Astyanax mexicanus: one gene and its partner. The protein of the gene in region 1 interacts with the protein of each later gene in a biochemical or structural test. Links are inferred from orthologs where the notes say so. Each region holds a gene or a part of one and is shown on either strand. Other genes may lie near its edges.

Evidence for each region.
Region 2: the proteins of myog (region 1) and csrp3 form a complex in vitro, tested with the Homo sapiens proteins (2 studies listed by BioGRID and IntAct, with this or other methods). The link is inferred for Astyanax mexicanus from reciprocal best matches to the Homo sapiens genes MYOG and CSRP3.

Annotation. Positions count from the first base shown.
Region 1 is NC_064431.1:20,021,404-20,034,141, reverse strand, and holds the start of myog (myogenin), read right to left. Parts: upstream 6,031-12,738; 5' UTR 5,923-6,030; intron 5,185-5,922; exon of another isoform or gene 3,259-5,184; intron 1-3,258. Other genes in the region: zinc finger protein 205-like, read left to right, coding at 6,526-6,530, 8,506-8,663, 9,499-9,872. UniProt on the Homo sapiens protein: Acts as a transcriptional activator that promotes transcription of muscle-specific target genes and plays a role in muscle differentiation, cell cycle exit and muscle atrophy.
Region 2 is NC_064423.1:340,891-353,741, reverse strand, and holds the start of csrp3 (cysteine and glycine-rich protein 3), read right to left. Parts: upstream 6,114-12,851; 5' UTR 6,008-6,113; intron 5,744-6,007; 5' UTR 5,637-5,743; intron 3,800-5,636; 5' UTR 3,780-3,799; coding exon 3,668-3,779; intron 1-3,667. Other genes in the region: transcription factor E2F8, read left to right, coding at 8,755-8,838, 9,687-9,938, 10,583-10,739. UniProt on the Homo sapiens protein: Positive regulator of myogenesis. Acts as a cofactor for myogenic bHLH transcription factors such as MYOD1, and probably MYOG and MYF6.

The DNA of each region.
Region 1 (12,738 bases):
CTGAAGTGAATGCCATTTTCACAGGAGCTGATTCTGTTTCATTGTCGGAGAAAAGTTATATAATCTATATATTTTATTTTTGATACATTTATTTATTTAATAATTGTAGATATTAGTGTTGCTCTGATATTTTTCATTTAGGATTTATTTAAAAACACACACCACTGTAGCCCTGAATTGGACTGAATGGTTAAGATATTTTTATATTGTATGGTGCAGTTTTCTAGTAACTACAATTTAAGACTTACAAAGCACATATTTACATTTGGAAGGTCAGCAGAATACATATTGGACTATTGATTAGATGTCTGTTATTTATAAAAGTGTGTGTGTGTTTGGACTACTGAAAGTGTTTAAGTGCTTCTAAGTGAACAGAAACAATAACAATTATTTTATTATTATTTTTAAAAGATAATTGTCTTTTCTGTCATTGTAGTAAAACGGCAATACATTTATTTTTATTTCTTTTCTCACCACAGCTTCCATTGTCTGGTCGAGCGAGATATGCCCGTCACAGGAGATTCGGCAGTTTCGATGCAGTGGGTCAGGATAATAATTTCAGCCAATGGAGAGAGAGGTAAGTTTTGCACTTTTACTAAATTTAACCCTTTAACTGTCCACTCGTTTTTCTAGTTCATGTTTACATTCGCACAGTTTTTTGTAAAGAAGGATCTGTTTGATTGAACTGGTATATTTGATGTAATTACAGGATATTTTACAGAGATTAAACAGGACATCAAAATGATATGATGTGTTTTTTGATCATAAAGCTGTTATCTTTTCCAGTATGGCCAGTATTACTGTGCCACTTGGTGCCACTTTAGCTTGAACATGATATTGTAACTTTGTGAGCAAAATTCTCGCAATAAACATTTTTGTAATACCTGATTAGTAAGTGTTAAATTACTGGGATTACAATAATGTCAGCTGTGTAAATGTCATCTATCTGCAGAGCTGGAGCTAGCTGTTTCAGACCAGCAGCTCTAAAACATGCTGTAGTGTTAAAAAAAAGCTAAGCTAACGCTATCTAAAAGTTAAATTTTTTTTCTCACTTAAAGTAATTTACTCTACTAGACTAGTAAACAATATGTGTGAGTAAATTTCTGATATTTCACTTGGATTTAACAAACAAGCAAGAGTTTTCCATTCCACCTTAAATGCAGCCGGTCTTGACCAGCAGTTTTAAAATACAGCGTAGTTTTACAGAAGCTAAGCTAACGTCAGCGCTAAGTTTTATTGTTCTCTCATTCAATGTTACTTGAGCCTGCTCGACTAGTTAATCGAGGTGTTAATAAATGTGAATTTACCTTTCCACCTTAAATGAGGCAGGTCTAAACCAGTAGTTTCAAGACATGCTGTAGTTTTAGAGAAGCTAAGCTAATTTTAGCGGCAAGTTTTATGTTTTCTCCCACTCAGTGTTACCAGAGCCTTCTAGACTAGTTTTAACAAGTTAGCATTTTCTATTCCACCTTAAATACTGCCGGTCTGGCACAGCATTTTTAAAACATGGTGTAGTTTTACAGAAGTTAGTTAGTTAGTGCCAAGTTTTATGTGTTCTCTCACTCACTCTCAGAGCCTTCTAAAATGAGTCAGCATTTTCCTGAGTTTTCCATTCTACCTTAAATGTGGCCCTTCTAGACCAGCAGTTTTAAAACATGCTCCAGATTTACAGACACTAAGCTAACGTTAGCGACAAGTTTTGTTTCCTCTCAGTCAATATTACCAGAAACTTCTAGACTAGTTAAACGAGTTAGCATTTTCCTGAGATTTCCATTCCACGTTAAATAAGGCAGGTCTAAACCAGTAGTTGTAAGACATGCTGTAATTTTAAAGAGGCTAAGCTAACGTTAGCAGAAAGTTTTATGTTTTCTCTCAGTCTATGTTACCAGAGCATTCTAGACTAGTTAAATATGTAAGCCTTTTCCTTAGTTTTCCATTCCACCTTAAATGTGGCCTGTTTAGACCAGCAGTTTTAAAACATGCAGATTTACAGATGCCAAGCTAACATTAGCGACAAGTTTTGTTGTTTCTCTCACGTTATTTTATTAGAGCCTGCTTGACTAGCAATTTGAGGAGTCGGTAAATGCGAGTTTTCCTTTCCACCTTAAATGAGGCAGGTTTAGACATGCTGTAGTTTTAGAGTAGCTAACAAGTTGTATTGTTTCTCGGAACCAATGTTAATAGAGCTTGTTAGAGTAGTTAAACGAATTAGCATTTTCCTTTGTTTTCCTTTCCACCTTCAATGAGACATTTAAGGTACATTAAGGTACTGTCTTGGTTTAATTCTTTATGAAAACAATAATGTGTTTAATAATAGTTGTACAATTACAACTTTAGTTCTCAAAAAATCTCTTTCATGTCTGAACAAAACCTGTAATTGTAATGGAAATATTTCCAAACGAATCAATAATAAAACGATTCAAATTAAATCAGAAATTGAATCGAATTGGGGCCTTGTGAATCTGAATCGATTTTGTAAATCACTGATGATACCCAGCCCTACAATTTAGTTATAAATTACCACTGTATGTGGTACTAGAGGCTTCATGTAGAGAGTGGGGTCAGCAGATGCTGAGGGGCATATTACACGGAAGTAAAAAAAAAAAAAAAAAAAAAAGGTCAATCACCAAACACATTACAGGCAAGCGAATACTTTTGGCAGTATAGTATGTATGTAAATGTTGCTCCGCCTCTAGTCTGGATACAAGATTAAACACAGTTGGATCTTTTACCAAGAGGTATACTACCTAAAAGTAATTTCTGAGACTCGGACTGCACTTGTAATCATTTACATACCTGCTTGAAACATAACAAAACTGCTAGCCAACTTTTGCTGCAATACATGCATTATTTTTGCTCCTTTGCCTTAGTCAACAATAAATGTTCAACTCTGTCCCGGACTGTCTGTGCTGAGCATTTGGTAGAGTTAATAAACTTTGCTATAATTAGGAGAATCTGGTGACATGCTGATTCCTCTACAGGCAAAATTGGGATGAATTGGAAGGAAATGAGCACATAGACAATACCCAAATAGAGCACAGTCGATGCCCGGCGTCTGCCCGGTGCTCGGACGTTCGCCTGGACTGTACGTCACACTGGCCGACCATGAGTGGCAAGAAAGGAAGATGCAAATTTCCTGGATGCAAAGGCATACCCAGAGTTCTGTGCATGAAATGTAATGTACACCTTTGTTTCACCAGGCAGAGCAACTGCTTTGTGAAGTTTCATATGCCGCTTAACTGAATGTAGAACTGGATTTGGTAATCTTTTGAATGCAATCGCATCTTCTGTCTTTACTCTGTTTTTGCTGTTAGCAGTAGAGTCACAGTTTGTATTTAGTGTTGACTCTGTAATGTAAAACAGGGGTGGTTGTTGTGACTTGAAGATTTTGGCACTTTTGTATTTCTGTTGTGTATTGAATTTAAATTCAGATTATGTTAAATTTTGTGTAGAATGAATATTGTACTCAGTTTAGAGAGTTGTCTGCTTCGTCTCCTCACTTTGGATGCCAGGTAAAGGACACTAAACCTACACAATTGAGCACTAGCCAGCAGTAGTCAGGTCCGACCCTACCGGATCCTGTGCATGTTAAGTCCGAGCCCAGAGATTGTTAAATCTGACATTTTTAACTAAAATTCTGAGTTGTCTAAATGAGTGGAATCTGTATAGAATGATTTTAATGAACAGTGCAACACAGAAGAAGCATAGGTCTATTGATTAACAAAACTGTTACGCACAGCACTGCAGTGTTGTGTAAAGACCAGTTAATACAGTCTGCGAATTTGTTGAATTTGCAAATTTTGTTGAATTTGTTGAATTTGCGAATTTCACTGAAAGCAGCTGATGGATGCATGGATGGATGGTGACGTTACTAGTTCCTATTCTATGGAATGTCAGGATAAAGTGTCCTTCAGCGACTTTTACATTGCATTGTTGCATGTTGTGATTTTGTCTTTAATTCTGCATTTACTGATTAAATAAAGTATCAATAATATTTTCCCTGATTTCAGTAGCTTTGTGGAACATTGTTGCCCTGGGGGTTAGGGTAACACTCTTATTCTTTTTTTGTTGTTGTAGTAGTAATAGTCAGCTATATAAAATTAGTAAATATTATTTAAATGGTGAGTCACTCTCAGCACTGCAGTAAAACACCTCAGTTTTACTGCTGACTGAGAATAGTCCAAGAACAGCAAGCTTTGGGCATTGTCCTGTGGACAGTGTCCTGTGACTACTGATGAAGGTCCTAATCATTGAAGAACAGGGTGAAAGGAGGAGGATAAAGTATGCGGAGAAACAGATATATGTAGATAGACTACAGTCTGCAGTTATAAAACTACAAAGTGTCCTGTATGCTAAGTCGAGCTGAAAAAATACAGGGGTTGGACAATGAAACTGAAACACCTGGTTTTAGACCACAATAATTGATTGTCCCTACAGACAGTTCTGGTGGAAACAGGAGAGTTGAGGTGCACATTAAATTCTGCCGTGATTTGATCAGCCGTGGATTATTATTTTTTTGGATACAATCCGGGTTAGCACCCAAACATCCCTTTCAGACAGCTTCCTCTTACAGCGTCCACAGTTAATCCTGTTGGATGTGGTTGGTCCTTCTTGGTGGTATGCTGACATTACCCTGGATACCGTGGCTCTTGATACATCACAAAGACATGCTGTCTTGGTCACAGATGCGCCAGCAAGACGTGCACCAACAATTAGTCCTCTTTTGAACTCTGGTATGTCACCCATAATGATGTGTGTATTGCAATATTTTGAGCAGAACTGTGCTCTTACCCTGCTAATTGAACATTCACACTCTGCTCTTACTGGTGCAATGTGCAGTTAATGAAGATTGGCCACCAAGCTGCTCCAATTTAGCCATGAAACCTCCCACTCCCACACCTGACGGTTCTCAGGTGTTTCAGTTTTATTGTCCAACCCCTGTTGAGAGTGTAGATTATGGAAACTAGGAAGTGATCAAAGTGGGACCGCTTTGTACTTTCCAAGCAATGTACTAGCTGCAGCTCTGCATTTTGAATTAAACCCTACCTTAATATAAAGTTAAATGCGCTGTGGAGTGTAAACTTATTGCATACAGCACGGTTCTGATTGTGTCATCAAACATCATCGGTATCAGCTGAGGAGGCAGCTGTGAGGTCCGCCCCCTGCCGCGTACAGACAACACATGTAAGATACCACTCTTGTTTTGTTTTGTTAATTATTTAATGCTTTCTGTTAATGTGAATATAGTAAAGTATGGATAGTAGAGTAGTCACTCCAGCAAAAGCAATATACAGTATACTCTTTAATACCCTTGATTTCAGAAGAAACAATGAATAATAAGTAGCTGTCCCAATACTTTTGTCCATAAAATATGATCTTTACACATTTACTCGGGTGTCACGGGTTAGACAGGAAAAATAAAAACCTGGTCTGAGTAGTGGAAAAAAAACAGCAGCTTAGTGAAAAGAGCAGGAGTCACCAGATACAAGTCTAGAGAGCCTTTTTAAAGTCCAATTCACGGGTGCTGTGAGTGTCTATTAAAATCTTAGATTAAAATCCTAAAATATATAAATATAAATGACACAGAAATGCAGTAACTTGCATTTAAACCTTTTTTCTAGGAATCCAGAGCTCTAGGAACAAGTTATATAGAAGATCATAACTAATTCTAAGGAATTTAACCGTTTAATTAAAGCATTTGATGTGCTTAATGTTTTAAAACAGACCTGAAGAAGCATAAAATACATTTTACACACAAATTAGCTAATGTAGTTTTATCTCCAGCACTAAACCAGCACTCCTACATTCTGTAAATAAGCTCACATGAAGAATCACAGATGCTCTAAGGATGTTCAGTACATTTCACTTAGGAACTCCATGAGTTGAGATGGCGGACAGTGTGCTGTAGGCAACTTTACATACCTTTTAAAGAGTCTGTGACGCACGTCACCATGGGCAAATTTGGGCATTTCAGTCACTTCAGCCTGGTAATTTTCTGTCCCAGAGCAGAAAGCTATTTACCAACCAATGCTGAAAACAAAACACACATATAAAGGATAATTAAGAAATATACAGACAAAAAAAACACTTGTAGCTCAAATTTCCATTCCAGACACACACAAAGCACTTGTGCCTGATTATGCATGTGTGAAATGGGCTTTAGTTCACCACAGTTTCGCTATTTTCCTGCTCTAAGTCATTAATTCACCTAATTCAATTAATTAATTTATGAATTAATACATTTAGTGAAAATATATCGCCAAGCTGTGAGTACACAGGCTCGCCAGATCAGAATTGATCAGCCTGATTATTTTAACAATGTTTGCAGGTAGAAATGCTGTTTATAATAAGCAAAATAATTTATGTAATTTAATACATTATTGTCAACTATATATAATTAATTTATTTTCTGTTTGTTTTACAGTTAGTTTGAGGGGAAAATCTTTCAGGGCCTCCAGTTAATCAGCTCTGTCTTCTGGGACTGATTGCTTGGTTCAGAAGCCCACCCTTAAAAAGACGGCTGAAATGAGGTAATCATATGCAGTAATATATCACTTTTTAATTCAGTGTATCTTATGACTATATGGATTATGGTATCTGCAAAATAGAAACTGCGGTAGTTACTAGATAGACTATATTGCCAAACATATAACTCTGCCTATGGGTCACTCTCAAGAGCTCACTGAATTTCAGCATGGTGCTGTGATATTCCAATCGTAAAATTTCTTCACTATCAAATATTTCACAGTCACCTGTCAGTGATGTAAATTCCATGTAAATGACAGAGCAGGGTCAGTGGTTGCACAGGTCACCAACATTTTGCACTCTCTCTCAATCACTACAGACCTTTGAACTGGCCTTTAAATTAGCTCAAGAACAGTACAGCGTAGAGAGCTTTATTTAAAAAAATCCATGGCCAAGCTGCTGCATCCAAGCCTTACATCACCAAACAAGATGCAGTGCAAAGCATTGGACACTGATGTAAAGCATGCCGACACTGGTCTCTGAAGTGACAAATCACACTCCGTCTGACGAGTCTGGGTTTGGTGGTTGCCAGGGGAACAGTACTTGTCTAAATTGTCTGCATTGTGCTAAGTGTAAAGTTTGGTTGGGGGGGGGATTATGGTATAGCGTTATTTGTCAGTATTTAGGCTCGGCACCTTAGTTCAATAGAAAGGAACTCCTAATTGCTTCAAAAGACCAAGAGATAAGTGCAGACAGTTTGGTGTTGGCCCATTCCTGTTCCAGTCCTGCACTTAACCGGATAAAACACCTTTGGAATGAGTTAATGCGAAGACTGAGTGGCTGACCTTCTCGTCCAACATCAGTATCTGCTTCACAAAACCGCTTCTGAAAGAATGGTCTATAATTCTCATAAACACACTCCAAAACCTTGTGAAAAGCCTTTTCAGAAAAGTTTAAGCTGTTACAGCTGCAAAGGGTGGGCCAACATTATGTTAAACCCTAAAGATTATTAAAGTTTGTGTGTGTTCTAAGTGAATATTTTTGGCAATATAGTTTAGTTATCCTAGCAAAGATGATAATTAAACAAATATGGCATGGGTAGGTCTATAGTTTTGTAAACTTTAATTCTTTATTAATTTATGGAAATGCTAGGAAACAGCTCGTCATGTTATTTTACTCATTGTGTGACCATCTTTTTTGTTGTCCTACATAAATGTATTTAAATATTTATAACCTCATTGTCATATTTCATTTTATAAAAATGATTCCAGAAATGTCCTCCATGTTTGTCGGTTTTGCTACCAGAGTCTGCCCAGTAGAGACCAGAGGCGGAGCCAGACCCGCCTACTCATTTGGTAGGCCCGCCCCTTTGTCCCAGACCCAACTGTCATAAACAATGGAGATGAAAAGACAGTTTAGAGGAAAAAATGTGATGGAAAATGGGAGGGGCTGTTGCCACTGAAACATTTAGAGATGGGCGGAGCTACATATCATACGGCAACCAGTTTTTTGGGAAATATTGTGCTCTCCATGCTTATTGTATGTACATTTCTGTATGCTGACAGCAGCTATCTAGTTGCATATGTGGGTGATGTTACACATACCTGTCTATTTGTCTACCATGTTTTGTTTGCATTCAATTTTGTAGCGTAAAAATGCAATAAACTTGGTTTTGTTGAACCATATCTCATCATTAGTCCTCTGTTCAAAAATGTGCTACAACTTCAGCCATTCACTGTAAACTGGTTAAGATATTTTTTTACTGAATTATACATTTAAATCCCTGAGATTGGTAGTTTAAGGGTTGCCAAATATGCCTTTCTTCTTGGGATGCAGCAAAATATATATATTTTTTTAATTACATAAAAGGTGGTGCATTGTTTTACTGTGCAGCGACTCCTGGGCTAGTATAATATAAGTGTCAATACTAAGAGTGGCAGTTAAAGGGTTACAGTTTTACCGGAACTGCTCTCGTCAAATTTTAATAAATGTGTGTTAATGCAACAGATTTTAATGAGTTTTACCAAATGTTGATTTTAGATCGCATATGAAACGTGCTCGCGGAATAAACAAACTTCCGAGACTTGGACGAGAACGGAAACTGGAGATGAGGACTGATAATCCGAGAGCACTGAGAAAAAAGGACGCAAGTCCGGACGTGGTGGTGGTCCTGGACGAAGACGAAAGCCTGCCAACACGTAAGTAAAATAATGCTGTAATCATATCAGTATCAGCAGATACAGGCATGTTATGTTTAGGAAACCCTGGCTAAGTTGCATGTTTTGTTCATTTTTTTGTGTAAAAATATGTTACACAAAAAGGTTCTCGGAGTAAAGCCAAAGAAGATTTTTTGTAATAAAACTTTGTTATTGGCTCTTTTAAAACAAAATGTATACTACACACTTAAGCTAAAAGGTAAAAATGCTATGAAGTGTTGGTTTGGCAGGCCAATTACCCAACCTACTCACTAGTCCTATCACTAGTACAGCTTCCAACACTAGTAGGGTGAAGACTAGCACATGCTTCCTTTAATACATGTGAAATCAGCCACCGCCTCCTTTCCAACTGCCATTGATGTAGCAATATTGGGTACCCAGCATGCATGAGGAAAGCACAGCAACCCAGCTCCATTACATCAGCTAACAGACATCACCTTGGTGGAGATGAGGGGAGAGAACATTTTTGTGCTCTCTCAGACTCTGGCTGCTGATGGCAAGCAGCATGACCTGGGTTCAAACCACTATCAAACCAATCATAGCACCATATTGAAATTTGAATATTTCCAAATATATTAATATTTTTTGAACATGACTAATAAATACAAGTGACATCAGACAAATGCAAGTGACAAAGAGAGAAAAAAAATATGGGCATGTGTTTAAAAAATGTGACAAGTTTCTAACAATTGGATATATTCAGGAAGAATGCTTGTTTTTACATTTACATTTATGTTTTTCTTTTGGCTAAGTGTGAAAGAAAAAGTGTCCGTTTTATTGCCACTGTGCTGAAGTTGTTTTCCTTTCTGTGATGTAGAATTCCTGCCGGGCTCGGGGAACATGAGCAAGGAGATGAAGCAGTTCGACCCGGAATCGCTGGAAATGTACGGAAGTCAAGCGAAAGCCCTGGGCCTATCGGACGGTAATCTGTGCGTGGTGTGTGGGCGGACCTTCACTTCACGAGCTCTGCTGAAGATTCACCTGAGGGTTCACTCAGGAGAGAAACCGTATAACTGCCATTTCTGCGATAAGAACTTCCGACAATCCAGCCACCTCAGCGTTCATCTCCGGATTCATACCGGAGAAAAGCCCTACAGCTGCCCCACCTGCGGGAAGCGCTACAGCGACCGGAGCGCGTGTAACAGACACGTTAAAGCTCATCTGATGGAGCAGACTGAGCAGATTGAGTAGCGGGAGGCATGTTGGAGATGTTTAGTTTTTATCTTCCTCTATTGTAGAATTTTAGATATAGTTACACTACATTCTTAATATTAAATTCAAGAGATCTTAATGCTTTGCCTTAGGAGAGCCACTTTTTAAGGCCAATTTATGACTCTCCGTCAACCCTACGCTGCCCCCTAACATGTACCTCCCCAGAAACATCTTCGCATCACAGCAACACAGACTTCATCAACTGTGTTCGGTTTGCTGAGTATCGTATTTAAACTTCCATATCTCCACCTTTTTTTTGATGACCACTGTTTTGCCAGTGTAAGTGCAGAGCGATTTAGGTTTCCAAACCTAAAGGTCCAGACCAAAGTCTAAACCAAGGTTAATTTGCTCTTTTCGCAATTAGTTTTGGTTTCACACTGTGTCTAGTGGCTGAACCCAACAAAAAACACCTTGACATGTCTTGTTGTCATCCCCTACATGGGCAAAGAACCTGAGTCTCCCTATACATGACATTGATTGGTTTGTAGAAGGAAAATAAATGTCACACAGCAGCATTTTTTTTGTCAATTTGGCCAGTTGTCTTTGCAGATGTTCTGCCAAATTTTGCTTCTTTGCCACAATCCGACAGCTCAGATTTTTCTTTTTGGTCAAAACCCAAATAGAAGCTGTGAAAGGTTCTATAAACCATGTTCTGGAGATTCAAAGAGGCGAATCAATTGATTGATGGTCCAGTTTGTTGGCAGTGAGACAGTGAGGCTATTGTCACCCATTAAATAATAGAATAATTTGAGTACAACAGATGATGCTGGTGATTTCTGTATCTACTGTAACTAGATTATTAACCCTACTACAGGATGTGCCAGCACTCAAAGTGAGGCAGAACACAACACCTGGAAAAAAAAGAACCGAACTTACTACATTCTTCAAAACGATCAGTGTTTGGTAAGACCAAATTTGGGTGGTTCTTGGCACCTGCTCTTTCACACCTGCTCTGTTGGTTCGGCCCAAACAAGGTAGGTGTGAAAGTGGCCTTAAACCACTAAATACCCTTTGAAAGGTTTTTCTTTAGAACCGTGGTTTTCAGAGCAAAGTTGGGTCCATGATATGTAGCTAGAGGTTCTGCATTTTCTTTTTTTCTTTTCTTTTTTGGAACCCATATCAAGTTTGGTTGAATAAGAACCAAAAGAAACAACTTGTTCCAGGCAGTTTTTTATTACTGTATCCCAGGTTTCAGGATGTTTCACTTGCGTTACTAGATGGTTACTATTGTATCTCAGGTGGTTTCTAGGGTTTATCACTTAATGAAAAATCTATGTAATAAAAACGAGTTCCTGACTGTAAAAGGTATGAGAAGCTTTGCTTTAGAAAGTAGTTTTTGTAAATGGAATGCATGAAGAATTATTATTTATTATTAATTATTGAAGGTTAAGCGAAAAGGTAAAGGTTAAAAAAGTCCAGAGGCCCAAAGGTTTCAGAAAAACCCTTCAAAATGGTACATTTAATGTATTTTACGTTATGTTAATATGTTTTTAATCCTGGTTCTTCTGTGCCACCTATCAAAAGAACCCTTTGCGCCAGCTCTTAATTTATATATATTTTTTACTTTGTTTTAAAGAGTGTGCTTATAATTCTGTATCATCAATTGTATTCTGTTTTGTATTCTGTTACTGATTTCTTCTATTTCTTTCAATGACATGAAGTATTCTTGAGTTTGATGGGTACTTTGTTGGTAATTTGAATTTAAATGTAAAGCTAATTTAAGCAAAATAGCTGTAGGAACTTTTAGAACTTTGAACCTTTTAAACTTTGGAAAAAAAAAACTTGAATATGCAAACATGACTAGCTAGTGAGCTCTTAATGTAGCTTTTATTTATTTACGGTAACATTGACCAAACCTTAGGGCTGGACAGTAATTCAGTATCAATATAGATTGTTATATAATCTGTTTTAATATTAATTCATTTTACTGAATTTTATTACATTTTATTTTTTTTTTTTTTTAACTTTTCTGATATTTATACATACTGTTACATATTATTTATAGCATCATTCACTGACCGACCTTCATTATAGGGCATCCGTTATGGCCGGTATTTTTATTTTTTCCAGTTTACCTGTGGCTTTCATACTGTTCAAATTAATATCAGACTGAAATTATAAAAAATATATTGTGATATAAATGTTGGCCATATCGCCCAAACCCTGCATTAAATCTTTCGATTCTGTATTTTAGAGGTTTAACAAAACCCTAAAACTATTATAACTATTAAATAGATATAAACATTTTTTTACAAGATGCACCAATCAGCCATAACGTTAAAAGGTTTAAGGTTTGAGTGAAACTGATCTAATATGAAGGATTTAAATATTTCTTCATCTTCTAGCTGATCAGTGTGTAAATTGCGACTCATTGCAACATAAAGTTTGGGTTTCAAGTGGTTTACATCACACCTTATTAATTATTGAGAGTTTAATCTTCTGTTACAAAGAAAAAATCTGATTAGTGGCTGACTGAGGTGAATGCTATGAGTTTTCCCATTATCTGATTTAAAAAAAGTACATATAAATGCGATGATCAGACTGTTGTTCTGATCAACTTCGGATGTTCTTCAGTAATCGAATTATGATGTGCATGTAAGTGCATGGCTGAAAAGTGTAAAAAAAAATATTTGCGAAACTCTCAGTGCTTTTCAGTTCAAATTAGTTTTTGATAGTTATTTATTGTTTATATTTTTTGTTCTTTGCCACGTTTGTTCATTTTCCCCTCCGCAAGACATTTGTGTGACCAACGAACTGTGTAAGGGGTGCAGAAATGATTAAATATTATAACACTAATAAAGGTTAGTTACATAGGAAAACTATTTTATTTATTTATTTGTAGCAT
Region 2 (12,851 bases), on another chromosome or scaffold:
TAAAACGTTTATTGTTCCATTTACTGGGACAAGACATACATTAGTGTAAGTGAACGCTTGAACGTAACGCTGAGTGAAATGAATGAATTAATAAATAAAATTATGTTTAGAATGAAAAAAGGTCAATAAAACTACTACTGAAAAATCAGAATACAGAAGTTCAGACTTGTCTTAACTGATTAACTACCTTTTGAAGTAAAATATGGAGAAGAAAGTGGTGGGATTTAATTTTTTGTCAAAATAATTCAGTGCTCCTTTTTTTTTATAAAGTGACCTTTGGCCTTTGTGAGAGATGATCCTCTCAGGCGGACAGTGACTCTCTCTGATGGTATCAGACAGAAGATGCTGGAGTTTAAACATAACCTTACTGTGTCCTGCAGCTGTCCTGCTCTCAGCCAGAGAACTTAAGGCTAGCTTCTGAGGCTAATTTTGGGCTGGATGGGATTGGTACTGCTGAGAGACCGAGTCCCACAGTGCCAAATGCTCCATGGCTACAGGGCCCTGAATGGAAGCTAACTGCAGGGGATTTAACATAGCGTAGCGCTCCCAGTGGTCCTGTGTTACTCTCAGTTGTCAGTCCCCTCCACACCGATCACATAGTCAACAGCTGAAACCTGCTGTTTATTTACATACAAATACACTGGCCTTTAAATGTTTGGGCACAGCTAAGGGTTTCAAACAAATTATCAGGGGTATATTGAGACGCACAACACAGGAGAGTAAGAACATCATTACTAAGATCCTCTTTTGATGGTAAAGTGGTAAACAAGAGACAGAGATACACTATAACACCAAAATATTCTCTCACCCATCTAAAACTCTAAACACAGGTTCTAATTACTTCTATGATCACAGGTGTATAATAATAAAAGCAGCAGCTAGGCATGCTGGGACTGCTTCTGCAATCATTAATGTAAGAATGGGTCTCAGGCTCTCAGGAGCTCAGTGAACTCCAGAACTGTGGTACAGTGATAGGAGGCAGCACCTGTTCAACAACAAGTCCAGTCCTGAAATATTTGTTCACTACTAAATATTCCACAGCCAACTGTGATATAATAACACAGCGGAAGAGACTGGGAACAACAGCTTGCTCTGTTAGCTGAGGAGCACAGTGCACAGAGTAAAGCTGCACCTATTAGTTGTGTCTTCTCTGATTGAGTACGTTACCTTTTATTCCTTTGGAACTTGTGCTTTAACTGAACGTTTAATTTGACCCGGAATTAATTTAACCTGGACAGTGACTCTCTCTGCTGGTATCAGACAGAAGATGCTGGAGTTTAAACATGACCTCACTGTGTCCTGCAGCTGTCCTGCTCTTAGCCAGGGAACTTTATGCTAGCTTCTGTGGCTAATTTTGGGCTGGATGGGATTAAGGGCAGCTGAGCGACTGAATCCCACAGTGCCAAATGCTCCACAGCAAAGAACAGCAAACATAACTGCAGGGGATTTAGTGTTGTATGATGTTCCCAACAGTCCCATTTACCCTCTTGGCTGTCAGTCCCCACCGCAACATTTACACAGACAGCAGCTGAAACCTTTACTTACAAATAAATGATCAATATACCAGTATACGGCCTGGCCAAACACAAATATCACACATATTCCAATATTGTATGGTGAGCACTAGGCGTGATGGGTGCATCACTTTAGCCGCCTCTCTTTTTACCCTAATGCTCCATCACTCTGAAACAGGGTCAGTCTGGACTCATCAGACCTTCACAAGATCCTTCTTCCATTTCTTATGCTCTCTAATCCTTATGATCTCTAGCAAACTGAAGCTGAAGTTTATTGTCATAAACAATATATTATACAGCAAATTCAACAGCTAATCAATCCCACAAAAACACAAGCAATGCTATTGGTTGCTACCATACACAATCAATACCTGTACATGTTACATTAAAGACCAATGCCAGACAAAAATCTAAGTCTGTCAGTAGTTTTCATGCCCTGAAAATTTAATTTTACAAACAAACAAACAAACAAAAAAAATGTTATGTTTAAGGTTATAAATCAGTGTGTACTGATTCACGGCAAGTTTTTTGTTTCATGTTAACAATTCCAATTCCACCTTAAAAAGCTGTGAGGTGTAAGTAGTAAAGTGCATTAAAAGTTTTATACATTTCTGCTTTTTTTGTGCAGAAATTACAAACAGTCCAAATGAAACTACACCTGAAATCTTACTTATTGTTTATCAGATGTTAGGTTCAAACATCTCTAAAAAAAACCTTCAGCCTGAAACTCTTTGTGTGTGTGTCGCCTTAGCAGCATTTAAGGTGAGTGAATTTATGTGACCTGAAGCAACAGATAGCAGCTACGTGACATGAGTAGTGCAGGTGCTAGTGTGGAGTCTAGAATATTTTTTTGCACTGGTTGCAGCTGGTCGTAACTTTTTTTCTTAGGCCCACCAGCACAAAGGGTAGCTGCACCCAAATTTTCAACCGCATTAAATCTACCAACTCAGATTTTAAATTGCTGTCCATATAGGCAATATTAATATCTGTTCAACATGAAGTTCTGTACATACAAAAGATTGAGGCTGCAAGGGGGGGTTACTTGTTAATCAGAGGGTTAGACCCCCCTACAAATTGCCCATAACTCGTGCCCTGCTCTTACTTTCACTATTAAACATATCAGACATATCATCATAACATATATTTCATCAAACGTTTAAGTGATCGCCAATAACAATCATTCAAGAATTTTTTCCACCACATCTCTTCCCAACTCTCCTTCCACTTTGTAATAAAATATTGTACAATTCTTAACCATATTTTAGTTGCAGCAATCTCCTTAAATGTTTTCTCTGCTTGACTTCAATAATTTGGTCCTTCTAAAACAAGATACCATCTTTTCCATGACAACAGGATGAGTCTTTTTACATGGTTGTTTACCAAATGAGAAGCTACTCACGGCATCAGTTTGGGGTTAAATAACTTGTTGCCAGCTGAAACATAATCACTCATGCAGTACCGGTAATTATTCAATAGGAGACTCTTGACTATTTGCTTAGTTAAATTCAGGTGATGAGCTTTTTATTTTGCTAGGCAGTGAATTTAAATTAGTGTTAACTGTAAGCAGATAAACTTCTCCACATCAGCCCGACTTCCTCTTCTTTCTCCTTTATCCTGTGAGAGTTTGTATTAATAATTTTTGGTTTTAAATAAAGAGTTTTTTTTGCAGTAATGTATTTTTGTTTAAATAATAATAATAATAATAATAATAATAATAATAATAATAATAACAATACCTAGACATGGAACAGTTGCGGTCAGTGTGAGTGTGTTTGTGTGTGTGTGTGTGTTAAAGAGATGTGAGCAAGCTAAGCTCTGCACTTTGTTGTGCATTGTGTCATATTCGTTATCAAGTTCTGTAAAAACTGACACCAATAAATCCATAATTCCTGGAATTTAATTATTTAGGAGTATTTTATCCAGTAGGAGTATTTTATTCAGTAAGACGGAATATTGTAGAGAATTGTACTGTAATATTTAAGTGTAATATTTGAGTATCACAGAAACACAGTATAGTGATATCATCGTTATGATGGGAAATGTATTGTGATAATATCGTATCTTGAGATATCCTGTGATTCCCACTCCTAGCTCTGACTATGCAGGATTTTGTAGGATCACAGCTTGTATAAAAAGGTGAACTCGTGTCTCACTGCAGATGAAGCAGGGTTTGTGGAAGCTCCGCCCATTACACTGGATTTCCTCAGCGTGGTACACGGTTTTCTCACAGGCTGCACACTTAGCACCCCCGCCCCAGTTCGGCATCCTCGGATCAGGGACTAGATCTACAGGAATCAGAACAGAAATAAAAGCATCCTCAGATAACAGCACTGTATGCATTAACATAAAAAAATAATCCTCTGCAGGATTTATTTACATGAACTTCTTTGTGAAATGTGGTGTAAGACATTATGAATGAAGTGTATTTATTTATTCATCTTATCACTTTAAATCAGTTTTAAATAATGATAAACTATAAGCTACACCTACAACGTTATCATTTAATGAGAATTAATCCTAATTTATGATAATTAATCCTAATTGATTTACAACAACCTTTTGGTAACATCACAAGAACAGTAAAATGAAAACAGAGCCTGGCCAAAAAAAGTCTCCATTTGGAGTTCAGTAACAGTATGTGCTGAAAGAATGAGGTCAGCTGACTCTACCTGAATATACTGAATATAGACCAGGTTATTCCATCAATGGATTTTATCTTCCCTGATGAACACGAGCATATTCCAAGATGATAATATCAGGATTTATACAGCTGGAATTGTGAAAGAGTTCAGGGTTCAGGGAGCAGGAGATCATCATTTATCACACATGGATTGAGAGAGAGTTCACCACAGAGTCCAGATCTTAACCTCATTGAGAATCTTTGGGATGTGCTGGATGGAGAAGCGCTGCTTTGTGCAGTGGTCAGACTCTACCATCATCAATGCAATCACACTCGATTCGTATCCCTGTTTACTGCTGTTAAATGATGATCTATCATTTTTCTACTCTACTAAAGATTACTGATGGCTCACCTAATATTTTTTATTAAATATCCTGCCTAGAATGCAGTACTGACAGGATCAATAAAGCTCAGAAATCCACTGTTAACTCATGGATTGATATAATACAAGACATTAGCTGTCTTGTAAATATAAATATATATTATGTTGTTACTGTGAGTCAGAGTTTCTGCTCTCTGCCTCAACACTGTGGAATGTGCTGATAATCATCCAGAAATAGTTCCTTCAATGAAGCTACTGCTGATAAAAACACACACACACACACACACACTCACAGATCTGGCCTCTGTTTCAGTATATCTGAGTTTGAGTGAGTGTGATGGTGATTAGAGCTTCAGTCATCATCACCTATTGAACAATTTACCTCTTAAGAGTTAAACTATCCATATTATTACATTCAATAATATTATTGGTATTATTTAATATATGAACGGTTTCAGACCTGAATTATCTCCAGTGATGTAAAAATGTATGAATGCTGTTTTTGTCTGTAGTGCACAGAAAATAAGTATTTAATATTCTACTATAAAATCTATACAGCAAATAAATCCTATTGTGTAATATTTGGTATTTCATATTAACTATTTTGTTTCATAAACCATCCCTAAACAGTAAAAAATAAAACATGATTATTAGTAACCATTTAAATTAGCAGCTACTTTGCTTTAATGGCTCTAGTACTACCAGGCTACTATTTCATTGGTTTATTGGTTTACTGTTTTATTGGTTCATGGTCTATTCTGTTGCACAACAGCTCTCAAATAGTGTTATGTGCAACAAAACATAAATGGAGGGTAATGGATTGTAATGGATGCAGAGTCTGAAAGGGTTAATTACAGTTAAGTGTAAATGCAATTAAAGCTATTCACATTTAAAACATAACTCTTATCTGTTTAAAATTCCAGTCAATCAATCAAAAAGTGACTACAAACAGTAATAGGAATACATGTGTAAAGAGGTACCAAATACAATGGTACTAAATAGGCAAATACAATCTAACTAAGAGAGAAATTAAGCAACTAATGTTATATTTTATAAACTTTACTGTTAAAACATCAAAGTAATCAGTCAAATTTACACAAACAGTGACTACAGTACTTACAGACCAGCGGAACAGGAGGTCCAGAATCACCCTAGAGGCTCGGCCTGGCTCTCTGTCTGCCTCTGGCTCTCAGGGACCTCTCTTATATATGTTCATCTTTCAGAGCACTGAACGCACACACACACACACACACACACACACACACAGATTAGGCCATCTTCCTAAAATATACTCAGTTATATCTCTCATCTGTACTGAAGCCTTTACTCATACAGCAATTTTTACTTTAGATTACATTAAAAATCTCAATATTTACAATGGTGACAGATACCATCAGGCCCCGCCCAATTTGTATATCATTCTAATATGTTCTGGAATTATTTATTACAAATCCTGGTAGAGCTCAATATTTATATCCCTTTTATACTTACTGCAAGTGCACATTGATCTCTCTCCAGTCCTCACAGTGTTAGGAGTTCTTCCAGCTACTTTCATTCTATCTAAACACAAAAAAATCCACATTGGTAGCATTTTAATTTGTGTAACGAGGTGGCTCATTTTGATGCATTGGGGGAAAAATGCTCCTGCTCCCACACACTGGATTAAAGATGCACTGTACTTTATGAAAACAGAAAAAATGACGACACCCTAAAAGGATATATAGTTAACTATTACACTATAAACCCACAGTTTGTTTGAGCTCAAATGAAGTAAGTCTGTGTTATGTCATATCATACTTATATTTACAAACATTGCTCAACTACTTTGAGTTTGGTAAACATTCGCAGCCACATATGTATTCACAATAACTCACATGAGTTGAATTATTTTATAATAACTGAATGTATTCTGTTGCCAGTGGCAGCTTCAGTTGATTCAACTTCTGTTCTGCCACCATGTTTATACAAACTGGGCGTGTACCACAGTTTCTGACGCTGTGTGTAGCCATTCCCTAAGCTACCTTATGTAAACGTGTAGATGATATATTATGTGTATGTATTACTAGTTGTCTGCTGTTAAAACCAGCATTAGGTTCTGAGCTGCTAACTCAGTGTTGTCTGTGTTGAACTTTAATGCTGTTCATTTAGTAGAAATGTCTTTTTCCAGCTAATTTTCAAATCAATAATTTTGGTCAATAAAAAAATAAATAATAGTAGAGTAAATATAAACCTGTTTTATCAAAGAAATGTTAAATTATTGTGCAAAGTAACTGATATCACAAAAAAGAAATGTAATTAACTTACAATGTATGCATAATAACTAACATTCATTAAAAACATGAGGAAGCATTAAAAGAAGCACATATCGATATGTGACATAACTGGACACAACACTCGACCCTGTTCAGAACTTTATGTACTTAGTAAATATGTACTTTTATCCTCTGGGTGTACGTGTACGTGTGTGGGGGCGGGGTGTGGGCGGAGTTATGGGCGGGTCAGATCTGCCCGGCAAATTCAGAGCGGGACGCGGGCAAAGGAGCGCGCACATATACACAGACACCCGGGAAAACCGAACCAGGACCTTCATATACCCGGGAAAATCGAACCAGGACCTTCATATACCCGGGAAAACCGAACCAGGACCCTCAGCGCGCTGGAAAATCACTAAAACTGGAGAAATCCGTATTTATTTACAGCCAGCTTTACTGTAGCGCTGTACAGAGAAGCACAGCTGGAGGACTGATCTAACATACTGTAGGTTGAGTTACCTGTGTGGAATCTGCGGAGATATTCTTGCACTAAATTATTTGAGCTAAATCTACAAGAGGTGGAATCTATCTGCCGTTCTTATGGATTAATTTGCCTTCTTTCCTGCATTCTGGTCGGACCGTTTCTCCTGTACAGTCTACTGCTGACTCAGGTATGTTAACCTAATAAGCTAGCGAGCTAGTTTATATATAAAACATACTAAAGAGCTTTATAGTCACCCATAGCTAGCCTATGAATGCTTTTACAGAAGGGAGTAACTTATAATTAGTTAGCTAGTAAGGCTATTTAAGCTATCTGTGTAACACAGAATGAACACAAAGTTTTATTTAACCTAACTACGTAAAGCTAGCTAACTAGCTGGGTTAGATTACATTTGCGGAGTAACGTTAAACAACTACGTTAACTACTTACTAGCTAACCTAGATAGCGTTAGCTAGCTTCACTACTCAGTAATAACTAGTTTATCAGTGAACTTGCTGGCTGTTGCTGTAGGATCCAGCGTTTTAAAGCTATTTTAACATTATAAAAGTTACCGCCTCTCTGTGTTTAATAAAAACTCAGCTAGGTTAACGCTAGCAGTTCGTTTCGATATTTATACCTGGTTAATAATAAACATACCGCAGTGTAAGTTACGTAAGCTATGTTATATTTAGTAGAGTTTTAGTTGACTAGCTCAGCAGTTAGTTAAGTAACTTTAGATCTGTACGGAACTTATCTGCAGGTATTTATTATCCTGGTTTTGAGCTGCTGTGTTTCTGGTGTCCTGCGCTCTGCGAGGCTCCAAACCACTAGTTTTTGTACAAATTAATACAGTTTAAGCGCTTATTTCTTGTTAAATATCGAGTTTATTAGCAGTACAATCTAATCTGCGCCAATATATGCTTTAGTTTAGTTGTTTTATGCTGTTTTTAGCCGCTAATATCTTCTTCCGTTCCGATTGCGAAATTCCGCGCCAAGATTTTAAAAAGGTGAGAGCCTGCGCGCGACTGTCCGAAAACCCGCCCTTTGTCGCGCACCTATTGGCTGGCTTCTTCGCGGGGGGCGGGCTCACGTGTCCGTGCCCTGTCAGCAATTGGCTGATTGTAGTGGAAGGGCGTGTGCATCCGCGTAGTGCTGCTGCGTGATTCGTCGGATCGGGTGTCAGTTAGCGCCAGTCGGCTCCCGGTCATTTGAAATCAAAATAACTTTGATTTACGAAAAATACAAACAGTTTTATATAAGATTTTAATAAACCTGAACTAATTCAGTTCTCATAGGGGTGCACGATGCTTTCTCCCAGGTTATATAACGCTGTAAAAAAAAGGTATTTCTTGTTTGTAACCTAGATAACTCATACAGTTATCTTCCCTGTTCTATTTAAAATCTCAGATTTGCTAATAATGGCACTGATATGTTAGTTATAAGTGATTAATACTAGTATTTTTCCTAACGATCAATTCTTCTTTCTCAACACACGTAGGTGGAAAATGTCCAGCACCTTACTAAACGGCCAGCACTTAACCCAGCTCCCCCAAACGAGCCCCAACAAATCAGCAGCAGCTAATGAGAAGGTCAGTAAATGAGCTGATGAGCTGCTAATGGCTGTGTATAGTGACTGTGTGTGAAGAGAATTATATTCAGAGTTTGTGGAAGGAAAGAACATTCCCTTAGTCAAAAATCATCACTTTTGTAAATCCACACTCTTTAGATAAATATTGTGTACTTTTATGTAACATCTCCATCATTCGTGGGTCAGTGTAATAATTATCAGGTTAATATTCTGCAAAAGAGGAAAAAATAGAAAATCTAAAGAAAATAAATGATTTAACTGTTCCTGAAAATTATTCCAGAAAAGAAAAAAAAAATACAATTTAGTCAAAACTCATTTGTTCTTTACTATATTAAATGGGAAAAAAGTAATAATGGTACACACTTTTTAAAAACTATTTTTCTAATTTATTCTTTACTTCATATTTGCTTTTCTTTATTATATTTTATTATATTCTTCATAATAACTGCTCTGTTGTGGGAAAACCGGACCTTGAGAAAGCAATTTTGTTCCACCCCATGTTCCGCATGTGATGTACATGGCAATAAAGTCTCCTTCATACTTACTTGAAACATTAAACATACCAAGTTTTAATTTATAGTAACAGAATTGTTCTGACTGTTTATTTTATATAATGGGATAACTGTGAAATATCAACCCCTGATTAAAGATATATTTCTATTTGATAATAGTTCAGGCAGTTATTTAATATTGAGCTAAATGTTTAGTTATCTGATTGTTATCTTCATTTTAGCCTACAGTATGCAGCCCTGCCCTTACTTTTTATTGTATAAACCAGCCAGTCTGCATTAAAAATTCCGTTATTGTTATTGTGCACTAACAACCGAACTCTGGCTTCATTATTTACAGAAAACGGGTGTGTTTGTGGAACCGCAGACACCCGGGAAAACCTCGGGGAAATCTGCCCCTCTGGAAAATCTGAAAATAATGGGTCCCCTAACAACGCCCACTAAAGGCCCGGACGCTCCTACAGGGGAGCCCTGGACCCCTACTTCTAATCTAAAGATGCTGATCAGTGCGGCTAGCCCCGAGATACGTAACCGTGAGAAGGAAAGAAGTGCAGACAACATAAAGGCAGACGAAACAGAATGCTCTTCTCAGGTACTTCAACCATTTCTAACCTGTCTTCTAAAGCCTTGTTTATTAAACTTAGTCCTGGAGGGTATTTCACAGGGCAGGATGTCTTTGTTTAGATTAGAGGTTGTTAATCTTTCTTTACTGTGAGACCCCTTTTTTAGGATTCTAAACACTTCATGATCCCATCGAAACTCCCCAGCCTATATTTTATATTAAAATCTTTGCTGAAGTTCACTTTTACTAAACTAAACTTTATTTTTATATGACTATATTTCCTACACAATTACAATTCTGCCACAGTTTTGCATCTTCAGCGCCGTGTGGCACATTAAAGATCATAAGAGAAGTAACGCATAAGATGAGTAATGTATAGTAGCTCTATTTCAACTCTTTAAATCATTTGTGACCTTGTTTTAGGTCACGTTTTACAAAAGCTAAATAACTTTATTTATTACTCTGGTATTTATTGTCTCATTGTTAGTCAAATATATTCATATATAAGTTTAGTAAAGTAAAAGTTCAGTAAACTCTGAACCCCTGGTTTAGACTTTAGCTTAACTCTAGAATCCAGCCTGTGTAACAGGTAAAGAGAGGATATGATAATGTCTCCCTGACACTGCGTTTTATTTTGGGTGTGGATGTTAAAGGTGTGTATTTTGTCCACACAGGAGCCCGAGCTGGGTGAGGAATCAGAGAAGCTGCATCTCAGCCGGAAGGAGAAGAGTCTCGGTTTGCTTTGCCACAAGTTTCTGGCTCGATACCCAGACTACCCGAATCCAGCCATCAACAACGACATCTGCCTGGACGACGTCGCTACTGAACTAAGTAACTATCCAGCATAAAGAACAGACACAGCTCGTGATATTATTGCGTGGGTGTAACACAGAAACATGGATAAATTAAAGGGTTGTAACAATTTAATTACCATATTATTCGCATTAGGCGTACTTAATATCCTTGAAATCCTAAAACCCTAAACAGTGCGCCTTGTGTATAAATTCTACCAGTTGGGTTCAGGGAAGGAGTAAGTAAAGCCACTATGCTGAAGTACAGAGTTATACAGGAGTTTCAGTGAAGTTATTCTCCAGCACTAAGGCTGGAGCAGTATTAGCATTAGCGGCTAACAGCCGCGCTAGCTCTTTCACTGTTCATAGGGTAGTATCGGACTGTAGTCTGCGTGTTTACTGTGTTAAAACAAGCTCCATGGAACAAACCGCTAGCTAAGAGTGCCCTGGGTTACCGGAACACTCGGTGTTCCTCAGTGTAGCGCTGTCAGGCGGCATTTACTAGCGCTAAGCGCTGCTGCTAACCCTGCTGTTGAAAATATTGTAAATAAACGGAAGCGCTTTACTCACCCAACATCCAGCGCATTTTTTTTGTTGTTTTTTTTTCTCTAAGAATTAAAGTTTTGTTTACGTTGGAAGGGAAACATGGCGGAACTCTTGTTCCTTACTATTGTTACTTAATTTTTTTAAGCCTTCTGCTTGAAAATAGACGTTCATTGATAGTGTGACTACATTGCACTTTATAGTCTGTAAATATTAGAGGTGTGCCAAAAAATCGATTCACATAAGAATCTTGATTCTCATTTACTACGATTCAGAATCGATTTAAAATGTCCCAAAATCGATTCTAAGGTCCAATCCCATTTCTTCCCTTGGCCCTACCCCTCACGGTAAGTTCACACTGCAGCGGCACGAAGCGTTTTTCGCTCCGCCTCCCACTGCCCAAAGCGACCGTGGCCGCTGCAGTTTGAACTTACCGTCAGACCCACACAGAGCGTAGGTGTATGAGAATCACCGGTAAGATGGCAGAACAAGCACTATATTACCTTAGATTAACGTGTAGTTTTAATGTTTTATGGCAGAATGCTTCATAACAAGCATAAAAAAGATCGCTAGTAGTTAGTTTCAGTTTCTGTTAGCTAGCTAACTAGCTAACTTTCCAGTTCCACCTTAAATAACGCTACAGGTGGCAGCGGGCTGCAGCATTTAAGGCGGAACGGAAAAATAACAATAAGCTAATCAGAGCTAATTTCAGCTCCTCATCACAGAGGAATTAAGGAATGGACAATATGAATTAATTTCTCCACCTCCTGCCCCCTTTCTGAAGAAATACAACGGCCTAAAATTAACTAGTTAATCAGCAGCTGCTCCTGAACTTTAGCGCTCCACTGCTATCATCACATCAGCCCAGCAGCGTCACCTACACACCACCGCTAGTAGCCTGGTAATAAAGCAGTGTTATTTATTATTTATTTATTGTTCATTAACGTCATTGTGATATCCCAGTGATTCCTCTGTCACTGAGGACCCACATTCCTGCACATTTTATTGTTTTTGTAACACATTACCTTCTCCAGGACCAGTGTATATTTTGGAGGCTTTTTTTTCAATAAGTTTTCAATAAATTTTTATAAATCAAATCGTTTTGAATCAAAAATCGATTTTGAATCGAATCGTGGCCCCCAAAATCGGAATCGAATCGAATCGTGAGATAGTAAAAGATTCCCACCCCTAGTAAATATGGTCGTTTTATTAGTACATATGGCTTCCAATTTAGGCAAAATGCTCTACCAAACCTATCTACCTATCTGACGATTGAACTGTTTGTAAAAGTGCAGTCTTAAAGACTAATTTAGTTTTCAAAAGAAAAGAATGGCTAAAGTGTGCATAAGGTCCACAATTTATTGTTTCTGTTTTCAGTTTATTGAGCTTTCATCACTGTAAAACTATGATATTTAAACCAACTGTGACAGTATATAAATGTTGTGTCAATAAGTGGTTATGATACTGGGGTTAACTGTTAATAATAAGTTTATCCAATAACAGGCTGGGGAATGGAGAGCATGTGCTGTAATTGGCTCAATCTACACGGCAAAATAAACATATGAACATAATAAAAATTATTTCAAACTACAAAACTGTAGAAAGTTTA